Tribolium castaneum: one gene and its partners. The protein of the gene in region 2 purifies or fractionates together with the protein of the main gene of each other region. This does not show direct contact. Links are inferred from orthologs where the notes say so. Each region holds a gene or a part of one and is shown on either strand. Other genes may lie near its edges.

Region 1 (3,944 bases), on a different chromosome or scaffold from region 2:
TGTTTACGATTGATTGATTGCTTGTAGTGGTCTAAGTATATATTTTTTTAAAACGATTTTATTTTGTTGTTTTTCTCAATGGTGCAGGTCGGACGGTTGGCTTGACGGGCGCAAGTGCTAATCGCTCCGATGCAATCTAATTTCATTGTGATAAGTAGCAAAGTTTTGTTCTTCCGTCAAAGACCCGATTGGTGCACAATTGCATTTCTAATTTATTTGTTTTTGTTGACTGTAGATAATTGTTTAGTAACAGTCTTTGGTACAGCTGTCGTAGTTGTGTAACGAAACTGATAGTGGATGCTTGAGTCAATAATGCAATTTATTTATTTAAATGATGGAAATTATATTCTAATAAACTAATACAAATTTCCTGTTTGTTTCCCTCATTGTTGCCGAAAATTTTTCACCCTTATAGGAAAAAAATCACTGAATTTTTGAGGAAAAATTCTCCAGCCTTAGTGAGTTTGTTTTTGGTTATTTGGAGACATTTTAAGGAAAGTGACTTGAGTTAAAAATGCAGTTTATTTATTAAATGCTGGAAATTATATTCAAATAAACTAATACATATCTCGTGCTGGTTTCGCTCAATTGTTGCGAATGCCGAGTGCTTGCTCCAGTTCGGCCCTTTTTTGCTGCACCTTGGTGTAGAAATAGCGACACACGGCTTCTTGCGCCCACGGTTGGTAGAAAAAGTCGGACCTCCGCTCCTCTTCAGGATTGCCCACCACATCGGTCATACACTAGAACAAACGTGCGGAAAATGCCACTTTTCCACCCTAATACACTCACTTTCCATACCTTCAAATCCCTGGTTTGTGACACGATCCACTTGTAAATAAACTGTTGCGGATCTTTGGCAAAACTCAAGAAAAACTCACGATTTGTTTTCAATTGATTAATCGTATCGACAGTTTCGTGAATTTTCGCATCCAAACCTTGGATCTCCTGCTGACTAGCTGTGCTCAACAGGAAATTATTCATCTGAGTTTTGAGCGTATCGTCCACCTCCACGTCAATATCGTAGCAGGCGGTTTGCTTGCTTTCGGCCCCGCCCTCCACCGAGATCACGTGATTGATGACGATAGGGTCCGGTGGGTGGAGCAACGGGTTTAAACGTTGGGGGATTTCCGCAAATTTCATCCGAGGACACCCGAAGATCTGCTCGAGATATTTATCACACACGATGTATTCGCGTTCGTGGGCGTCTTGCAATCGGTGCGTTTTTATATACTGCCATAGGGCGGAGATGATAACGGGGCGTGTCTGCGTGTGCACGCCCAATAAACGGGCCAATCGCGGGTCGAGTTTGAATTGTAGCGGTTGGTAGTCGAGTAACAAAAGAATAGTGCACCGCACATTCTTATCCCCAGGTCTCTTGACCTGGAAACCGTCTGTTTCTTGAGTTGTTAAGGTACGGTGCCATTCCACCAAGTGGTTATCAGGACCGTACAACTCCTTATCGAGCTCAATCACCAACGATTTGAAAAATGACGAAAATTTGCGTTTGACTTTATTGGGGTCACTTTTCGAGTCGTCTAAAAGGCGGCCCTCGACTCGCAACTCCCAAGAGGCCACGGAGCCCTCTTGTCCAGGGCCGTCTGGGCCCTCGGCGCACGCCTCTTTGGCTGGATAAAACGTGTTAGAGATGAAAATCCTCAATTTGCGTTTTTGTTTCATTGGACGTTTTAACGCCTCTTGAATATCCAACCGTTTTCTCATTATGGTCGAGTCTAATTTACGCTCAAACGCGAGTAAATCCATGTAGGCCTGGCTTTCGGGCACCAAATCTCTGACTTTTTGGGGCAAAATCTTGTCGGAAAGCTTCTTCTTTTTCTTGGTTCCATGTGGGTAATCACTGCCAACAGCGTAAACGATTTTTTCGAACAAATACAAATATTTGAAATAAATAAAAATAACAATTCTGTATACTCCCAATTGCTTACCTCTTTTGCTGCATGACGGCCCTGTTGTCCGGGGGCCGTTTAACGCCCGGCTGGGGCGGCATGGGCCCCCCTCGCATGGGCGAATAGGGGGCTTGAGGGGGCCGCGGCATCATAGCGCCCGGCTGGGCCCCCATGTTCGGGGGCGGGGTGTTGTACCCTGTCCGTTGCTATAGTGCGAATTAGAAATAATTGGGTGGAAAATGGGGAAACTCACCGGAAAATTCTGGGCTGGGTACTGGCGCATTCCCGGATTTTGGGGCGGGTAACGCTGGGGTGGGGGCCCCCCGGGACCTTGGGGCGGCACGGGGCCCGCGAAACGCTGGGCCATGGCCTTTTATCACTTCTTAAGCACAAAAAACACACAGATGCGTCCCCAGTTGCCCAGTTTCGGTCTTGTGTGTTTGGTGGGTTTGGTGACGAAGGTGTGCGTGGACGAAATTGTTAATTTGATAAGGAATTATCAATAGTAAATGTGTGATTAAGAACGGTTTTGCGACCTTTGGGTTTATTGAATCAAAGTTTGGGAAAAAAATACGAAAAAGGTGTGAATTCACTATTAGGTTTTGTGAACATTGTGAGATTGTGACCAGTTGAGCTACTAGTAGGGGTACCAACACCGTTGTTTTTCCGTATTTTGTTTAAAAATTTTCAGAAAGGTTGTTGGGTTGTTTACGCGTGTTGTTGTGGGTGTTTTGGGGCCCGTGGGGTTGTTGCCGGTGGTCAAATGAATTTATTTTCGCATTTTTTGTGTTTGGTTGCCGGCCTGGTGACAGAAGAACCATGATGGCGTCGCTGTTTATTATGTGAGAACTTCACATAAAAATTGGTTAAAAAACCCCGAAAAACTCACAACAAAATGTAAAAACAGTAATTTTTGGTCAGAATGCCTGAAAAGCCACGTGTCCATGCAATCAAGCTTTGAGCCAAACCTAGTAAGTGCCCCCAACCAAATAACCTTGATGTTTATTTACCCCTTACTCCTAGGTAGAAAATGGGTTGTGTTAGCAGCAAGCCCGACATAAACGATCAACACCCGAACATTTTCGACGTATCCAACGTCAACGACCAAGGCGACTTGGTGAGCCCCGGCAAGCTCGAAGTCCGGGAAACTGAACTAGTCCTACACCAAAGAGGCAAAAACCCCACAGTGTGGCCCCTCAGGTCGCTGCGCAAGTACGGCTTCGACTCGGAAATTTTCAGTTTCGAGTGCGGTCGCAGGTGCCCCACTGGCCAAGGCATTTATGCGTTTAGGTGCCGCAAGGCTGAGCAACTTTTCAATATCGTCCAACATCACATTGTACGTAATTCCGACGAGAACCCCCTTATTAACGCCATTTCGGACTTTCCGGCCGTTTCCACGGGGCCCCCTGTGCAGCGACGCGCCCCGTCCCAGCCCGAGGGCTATCTCAATCCGGTGGGGGCCCCCAGGCCGAGTCTGAGCCGCCCTGGGTCCATCACCAGCAACGGCCCGGTGAGCCCCACGACGGCCGAGTCGACGCACGAACACAATAATAATAAGAGGGGCAGTTTGGGGGACCACCAGTACACCAATTCCAGTGTTATTACTGAGTTGGAGGCTCCCAATTATGCCAACTTAGGCGCCGCAGCCCCCGAGGGGTAAGTTGCTAAAGTCCCAGATTTATTTCATTTAGGGCGCTTTTACCGATTTTTTTTACACATTTTTGTCAGTTAGATTGAAATTTTGCTAAATAAACAGCTTTGCCAACTGTGCCACTTTTATATTTTTTTTCTTCGGTGAATAATTTATAATTTTCTGCCTTTAAATAATAATAAGTTGGTGATAAATTAAAAATTTTAATTTGGCAGTTTTGATTTAAATAAAAATAAAGTCACTGGGTATTTAGATGTGGGGAGGAGCTGCGCCCCCTTGTGGAGAGTCCGTGCCACCTGTACATGAATGTGGACACCGTTGGAACCAAAGACTCGGATCCTTCCGAGGACAACGCAAGACATTGCTACGCCAATATAGACACCAAAGAT
Region 2 (3,515 bases):
CCATGTTTTGTTTTTCGTAACCTTCGAAAATAAAAGAACATTATTTCTAACTAGCTAAATAAGTGAAAATAATAGTAGTACCTCCAGAAAACCACCCCTGTCCTTAACATAGACATACAAACGGAACAAATCAAGCGGGTTCTTGGAAATAGTAGGGCAAGTAGTGATTGGCGATCTTCTCTCTTCCATAAATGTGAGTAGTTTATCCAACCAAGCACGTCTATCTGGACTGTCATCCATTTCGTATAACTTGCTGAGACTATCAGTTTTCTGCAAAATACATAAAGAATAAGCAAAGGATAAAAACAAAAGTCCCTCTTTCTGAATTGTGGTTTCTAAACGTCAAGCACTACATAAAACATGCCTCTGACATGCTATCACAAGCATTAGCACGACATTAAATAATATTATATATAAACCTTTGAGCGATACGTGTCCGGAGGAGGCACATGACTGTTAAACACCTGGAAACACCCGCCAGTTAGCTCAATGAACACACTAAACACAATTGACTTAAGCTGTTTGTTAAGTGGGCTAAAGAAAAAAACACCAACAGAAAACACCGGTCCCACCCGTAATTACGACACAAAATGAAAAAATTTATTTCGAAAAATGCAGGTCCATACACAGTCATCAGTCACTAAAAAATTTTCATCTACGGATATAGCGGTAGGTGGTATCCCAATCGTATTAAAAATTTTCAGTTACGTTACTGAATGCCACAGAACTCGATCACACAATTTCAATATAATACTTATATGCATTTTAACAAAAACTTGTGTAGAGTGGTAAATACATTTAAAATATTTAAAACACATATGATTGTGTGTGAACACTTACGATGCCGTATTGTCATATAAATCTACCACTTACTGGACTTGCGGGGGTCCTTGGCCAACTTGGACTGCTTATTTCGTAGTCGTCATGCATTGAATTCATACTTGCTGCACCAGGAGATGGCACTGTACTTTGCGGCGTTGTTGGATGGCTATAGTGACCCATTTCATTTTTCCGATTCGATTTCGGTGTGGTACACTGGGGATCTTCGCCGGAAGCTGCAATCAAATAAAATCAATCAAACTTCATTTTACCAAAATTAAATTGTGAAAAAATTTTCAATATTCCGAGATCTCGGCGCTCAGAACCGAGGGGAAAAGTCATTTTCGCAAAAGCGAATAATTTGACTTTATACATCAGGTCCCCCCCTTTTAATGATTCAAAAACAAAGCTTAGTAATGGTCGCAATCTCCGTAAATTCTTGAAATTACGCACTACAAAATTATGTACCAGCGGAATTGTTTAAAATTGCTTCAGACTCAAAAATACGCAGTCGACACCAAAATTAGAAAGAAATTCAATATGTATGTACTATTATGATTTTTCCGACTATTAGAATATACTACTATATTTATTCGTTTTATGAGTAAAAAGTCGCAGCCAAACACCTTCTTGTTTATTTTTTTAAAGACGATGAACACTATTTTTTATTTTCATTGAAATTATTTAGAAACTCGCACCACTTACCGAAAAACAGATAAAATTTCAGTAACATAAGATTAAAAAAACGTACGAAAAAACTTAACCAGATAAACATACGAGAGTAACTGAGAAAAAAATCAGTTAAATATTAATACGTTATAAATCTTTTTTGTGATGAAACACTACCGCTACGATAAAAACCGAAGGTTGAATTTGAAGTTAATTGAAGCTCGGTTGAGGGAAATTTTATTTGTACAAAGATAAGACAGGCAAATTCTACTCGTTTTATTACCGGCTGATGCATTTGACAGTGTCGATTGTTGCGATCCTTCATCGATCGGTGTCCCATCAGGTCCTGTTGTAACAACGGAAGTAACCGATCCTCCCGCCGCCGTTGTGACATGAGTACTCATCCCACCTTGTGCCGTTGTCGTAATCCCATTATCCATCATTTCAGAACCCATTTGCGTATGTGAATTCGGTGTCGAACTCGGTGGCGGCATGGGACCGTCATGTGAATGGCTGTTAGGCATTAGGGGACTGCTCGCGGGTGGCATATTCGGCGGCGGTCCCATAGTGGGCGGCGGTCCCATCCCCGAATGGTGGTGTCCCGCCGGCGGCGGACCCATGTGGTAATTCTGCGGCGGACTTGGACTCGGTGGCGCCGATCCGGGAACGTTACCGAAGCCCATTTTGTGTTGTAGGTGTTGTTTGAGGTAGTGCGGAGGTCGCGGCGGCGGTCCCGGGGGACCGGGCGAAGGTGATCCTGGGGCTTGCGGCGGTCCGTTACCTTTCGCTAACGTCATCGGTCCTTGCCACGGTTGTTGATACGGCTGAAATTGCGAATTCGGCATGTGGTTGGACGACCGATTCGGATACTGTTGCGGAGACATGTTGTTGTTAGGGGGCGGCGCTTGCGACGCCGGGGGGCCGTAGCCCTGGCCGGGATACTGGATGTTGGCTTGGGGCCTCGGCGGATAACCGCCTTGCGGGTACTGCTGGTTGGGCTGATAAAGCGGCATCTGCTGGCCGGCGGGGCCGGGGCCAGGCCCTGGGCCGGACACCATGCCCGGATGGCCCTTATAACCGTGAACGTGGGCCGGATGAGGCGACGAATAGCTGCCTTGCGTCGCCATCGGCGAATGGCTCATTCGAGTTGATCCACTGCCATCTGATTGACCACTGGACGGCCGAGGAGGCATCGGAATGTTTTGCTGACCTGGAAAAACAAAAACGAATGAAGACGGTGCTTGACACTTCAATGTTTCACTATTGACACCGACACGACAACCATCACAAACACAAACGGACCTTACGTCCGTCTCACATGTTTCAAGTCAGAGCGGTCAAAAAATCCTAGCAAATTTTGGCACAACTCACAAACACTTTCTACAGGTTTTGGCGGCCGGAAATTGGCGCAAATAAATCCCGGAAAACAACAAATAACAGCACCATATACGATTTCAAACAACTTTAGACGCCGAGGCAAGGCAAAAGTTCGTACCTTGCCCTAATCATTTTCGGAATTCAAACAATTTTGAAAAAATTGCAATGTTAGGTTTGGCGTAGGTGTGACTGTACAAGTGAATGCCAAGTAATCGAGATACAAACAGCTTACAAGCCCTTTTCGATTAAAATTTTACTAAAACTGTCGTAAAACATTTTACTGGGGTCATTATGGTCACACTATCTCAATAAAATATTGATTTTAATAACTACATCAAAAATTATTTTTTTAACGTAGTAAAATTTATACTACGTCGTAAATAAATTTTTAGAATCTAAAATCACTAAATCACTGTAGTATGTATCATACAATAGGCGGAGAGATGATGATAATACCACAAATAAATGGCGCTTATGCTGCAAAAATATTTTACATTGTCTGAAAAAAAAAGACAAGCGGTAGTGCTTTCAAGTTTATTTTTATTGTTCTAATGCATAATGCAAAAATACTTGACTGCGCTTTATCAAGTATATAATGGAATCAACCACAAACTATAATAAAAAAATTGATAAAATAAATTGTGTTATGA
Region 3 (4,054 bases), on a different chromosome or scaffold from region 2:
GGCAAACTGGAAAAATTAAAACATCCAAAACTACGAATTATAAAACAAACGTGAGGACAGATACGGAATCCTCAGTCAATTTTACGTAAGAGAGGCATATTTTTGACCTATATTTTTGATTATTGTGACCTTGATTATTTTTTTATTGGCAGATAAGTAAATCAAAATTTTGATTAAGTTGTTTTATTCGATTTATATTCAGAATTTTGACCCGATTGTTACTAAATTTTGTGCAAGAATAGGTAATTAATTAGTAAAGAGGGCTACAAGTCGTTTTTAAAAGTAGATTTATTTTATTTGTTTTTATTTTTGGTAGACTGGAAAAATGGAAATCCGCCGTATATCGTCTAAAATATCTTCAAAACTACGAATCGTAGAACAAAAATGAGGAAAAATTTGGAATCCTCAGACAATTTTACGTTAGATGGTCATATTTTTGACCGATATTTTTGGTTATTGTGATCTTGATGATTTTTTTATTTGCAGAAAAGTAAATCAAAATTTTGACCAAGTTGTTTTGTTCGGATTATTTTCAGAATTTTCATTAGATTTTCACTAAATTTTGTGCAGGACTAGATAGTTGATTAGTAAAGAGGGCTACAAGTCATTTTTACGAGTAGTTTTAATTCTTTTTATTTTATTTTTTGTAGATTGGAAACATAGAAATCGACCGGATATCATCTAAAATATCTTCCAAACCACGAATCATAGAACAAAAATGAGGAGAGATTCGGAATCCTCAGACAATTTTAGATTAGATAGATTTTTTTTTATTTTTGGTAGCTTGTAAAAATGGAAATCGACCGTATATTGTCTAATATCTCCAAAACTACCAATCATAGAACAAAAATCAGGAGAGACTGGGAATCCTCAGACAATTTTACGTCAGCTAGACGTAATTTTTACCTGTATTTTTGGTTATTGTGATCTTGATGATTTTTTTATTGCCAGATAAGTAAATAAAAAATTTCACCAACTTGTTTTATTCAAATTATTTGCACAATTTTGAATCTATTGTTACTAAATTTTGCACAGGAATAGGTAATTAATTAGCAAAGAGGGTTACAAGTCGTTTTTACGACCAGATCTAGTATTTCTATTTTTTTATTTTTGGTAACTAAAAAAATGGAAATCACCATACATCAGTTAATATCTCCGAAACTACGAATCGTAAAACAAAAATCAGAACAGATTTATCAGAACAGACATATTTATGACCTATATTTTTGGTTATTGCGATCTTAGTATTTTTTTATTGACAGATAAGTAAATTAAAATTTTAACCAAGTTATTTTATCCGGATTAATTGCACAATTTTGACTGGATTGTTACAAAATTTTCCTCAAAAACAGATAATTCATTAGTAAAGAGGGCTACAAGTCGTTGTTACGAATAGATCTATTTCTACTTTTTTAAATTTTTGCTAACTAGAAAAATGGAAATCATCTAATATCTCCAAAACTACAAATCGTAGAAGAAAAATGAGGACAGATTTGGAATCCTTCGACAATTTTACGTTAGACAGACATATTTATGACCGATATTTTTGGTCATAAGATGATCAATTAGCAAAATAGGGTTACAAATTTAGCTGAGTTTCAAACCAAAATTTGTAGGTTCCACCGTACAGAAAAAGAAATAATTATGGAAAATACTATTTTACGCCAAAGTTTTAAGACAGGATACTCACTTTGCCTGTTGGTATCTCAAACCGGCGCCAATTGTGCTCGCTCTTGAACTTGTACGCCGCCAACAGCATGTGGCACAAGGCGCCCCCGGGCTTAAAATCCATAAAATACCGCACCGGGATGCGGATCATGGGCGGCTTTTGCACATTTTTGCCCAAAAAGTCCTCCTGGAATTGCATCAATTGCAAAACCAACATGGAGAGACTCTTATTAGTGACAGGTTCGGCTTGAAAATACTGAAACAACCACAATGATGGGGGCACTCACAGCGCTCAGAACCTCACCTTTTTGCCATTCTTCTGCAGCCACTGCCTCACAAGCTCGAGGGCCGCGAGGGTTTCCGGCGATTCGAAGTATTTCACGTTAGGACCGCCGTCCTTTTTGGGGCCGTAGCCCATCATTTTGCCCACAGAAGAATAATTCCCGACTTACGAAACTACCGTATTACTGAGACTTAACTAAATTGTACATTACTTTGGTAAACTTTACAGAAATATACAAATAAATAGCGTAAATTTAGCGAAATAAACCGACGCTTGAATATCACAATAATGTCAATTGTCAAAATGCGAAGTATGGGCAACCAGTAATACGTTATCCGGGGCGGGAAATTTGAATTTCGAGCGTGAGCGTGTTTGCAACACGTGCCCACGCTTCACGGGCCGATGCACGTTCACTGTCATGGACTGGAAACGTTCACATGTAGGGAAATAACAGATCAAAACAACTTATGTAAGCCGAAACGTGTGAAATGAGCGGTCGTGAATTTTCCTGGCGTTACCTAACAGCTCACGTGAAACGTGACCGCAGCTGAGGCATTTCCGAAAAAAATCGGGTCTTCGCGTTGTCTGAAGCTCGACGGGCTTATGCTGGGCCTCAAACGGGGGCGAAACTGCCAGTTTTGGGGCTCGGGTACCTCGCCCCCGTGGCCAAAAGTTTCGCTCTGATAGGTGTAATAGGTAGGGATCACGTGGGTCTCCACGTTACTTTGAACGTGATCTCTGGTTTGGCTCATGTGCAAACAAACAAACAATCCCCGCGTTACGTTCCGGTGCACGAATGAGCTCGCAGCAGTGGCGTGCACTGAAATTTTTTGGCAAGGAAAAAAAAACAGTTACAAAAACTTACCTCTTTGTGATCTAATTCAATTCTCCTCCCTTTTTCCTAATTCCGTTATCACGACATGTTTATACACAATATTGAAGTAATGAAGCACCAAAAATGAGAACATACTAGCTTACTAGCATAGGATATACAAACCAAATTTTTGCTTCTATTAACGTCACTTGGGTAAAAGTTACAAATTAACAAAGCTGACGCCTATACTAGGTATTCGGTTCAGAAAAAAGCTTAAAAATAAAAACGAGCGCTTAGAGTATTATTATTAGACCGCCTCGTCTCTAGATTGTTTTAAATTATAATTAAAACTTACGTAACTGTGAATAGTTCATTCATGGATGGAGAAAGCGCAGAAACGTTGAGAAGCCATTTTTTTTTATAAGCTAACATCAGAAAAAAATCATATTTATAGTTTTACAGAATAGTTTTGCTGAAATTGGTAAATGATTTTATAATTAATATAGTTTATAATATTTTTTTTACATTAGCTTTATTTTTTTTTATTATATTTTACCATTCCCCTATCTGGCGTTAACTTTCTTGTGTGTCCTGTGTTGACTGATATTTAAGTTCGCGACTTTATTAGAAAAATTTTCCTAGTTTTTAGGTCTAGCTCAACTAAAAAAAAAAAACACTAAAAAAGCCTAAATTCCTTGTCAAAATACCTTTCATTTGAGGTATTTCGAATTGTGAAGGTGTTGTTTTTAATTTTTTAATACAAAAGAGGTAGGTGCTACAAATTTCGAAAGGACACTAACAGGTGTCCCCTGTAAATAAAAATTGACCTGTTTTCGGATTTACTAGTTTTTTTGTTTGTTTTCTAACATCCAGGGTGATTCGTTAAAAAAACAATCAGTTAAAAAAAGGATCATTTTTTATCACTTTTCATAATATTTTTTCTTCATGAAATAGAGCATCTTGTTTGAAATATTGTCAGTAGAGTTCAGTTCTAACAGAGATTTTTCTTTTACAAAAAAATCAAGCGTTTAGAAGTTATTTCACCCCAAAATAAAATGTTTTCAAAAATTGGATCACAAAAATTATTTATTATTTATTATAATACAGAGCCGGCTCTACGGACCGTGAAATATATGGACGGAGAGGCAAAAAGGATCCACAAAAAAAAAACTTTAGGTGGTCAATAAGAAAAGGGCTAAAAATTTAATACAATCCATTTTGAAAATGGTAACTTTAACTGAGATTTTATTGCAAATGGGTCTATAAACGCTAAAAAGTACACCCTATTC

The links. Proteins that work in one complex are often made in the same cells at the same time.
Region 1: the proteins of osa (region 2) and Bap60 purify together in Drosophila melanogaster (affinity purification with mass spectrometry; 3 studies listed by BioGRID, with this or other methods). This does not show direct contact. The link is inferred for Tribolium castaneum from reciprocal best matches to the Drosophila melanogaster genes osa and Bap60.
Region 3: the proteins of osa (region 2) and mor purify together in Drosophila melanogaster (affinity purification with mass spectrometry; 3 studies listed by BioGRID, with this or other methods). This does not show direct contact. The link is inferred for Tribolium castaneum from reciprocal best matches to the Drosophila melanogaster genes osa and mor.

Annotation. Positions count from the first base shown.
Region 1 is NC_087395.1:25,852,053-25,855,996, forward strand, and holds Bap60 (brahma-associated protein of 60 kDa), read right to left. Parts: upstream 2,489-3,944; 5' UTR 2,272-2,488; coding exon 2,158-2,271; intron 2,111-2,157; coding exon 1,944-2,110; intron 1,856-1,943; coding exon 790-1,855; intron 741-789; coding exon 585-740; 3' UTR 504-584; downstream 1-503. Other genes in the region: fibroblast growth factor receptor substrate 3, read left to right, coding at 2,935-3,560, 3,809-3,944. UniProt on the Drosophila melanogaster protein: Involved in the recruitment and site-specific anchoring of the Brahma complex at specific promoter sites.
Region 2 is NC_087403.1:4,034,018-4,037,532, forward strand, and holds part of osa (trithorax group protein osa), read right to left. Parts: intron 2,699-3,515; coding exon 1,772-2,698; intron 1,056-1,771; coding exon 874-1,055; intron 465-873; coding exon 420-464; intron 271-419; coding exon 82-270; intron 22-81; coding exon 1-21. UniProt on the Drosophila melanogaster protein: Trithorax group (trxG) protein required for embryonic segmentation, development of the notum and wing margin, and photoreceptor differentiation. Required for the activation of genes such as Antp, Ubx and Eve.
Region 3 is NC_087395.1:15,650,951-15,655,004, reverse strand, and holds the start of mor (SWI/SNF complex subunit SMARCC2), read right to left. Parts: upstream 2,804-4,054; 5' UTR 2,090-2,803; coding exon 1,973-2,089; intron 1,925-1,972; coding exon 1,691-1,924; intron 1-1,690.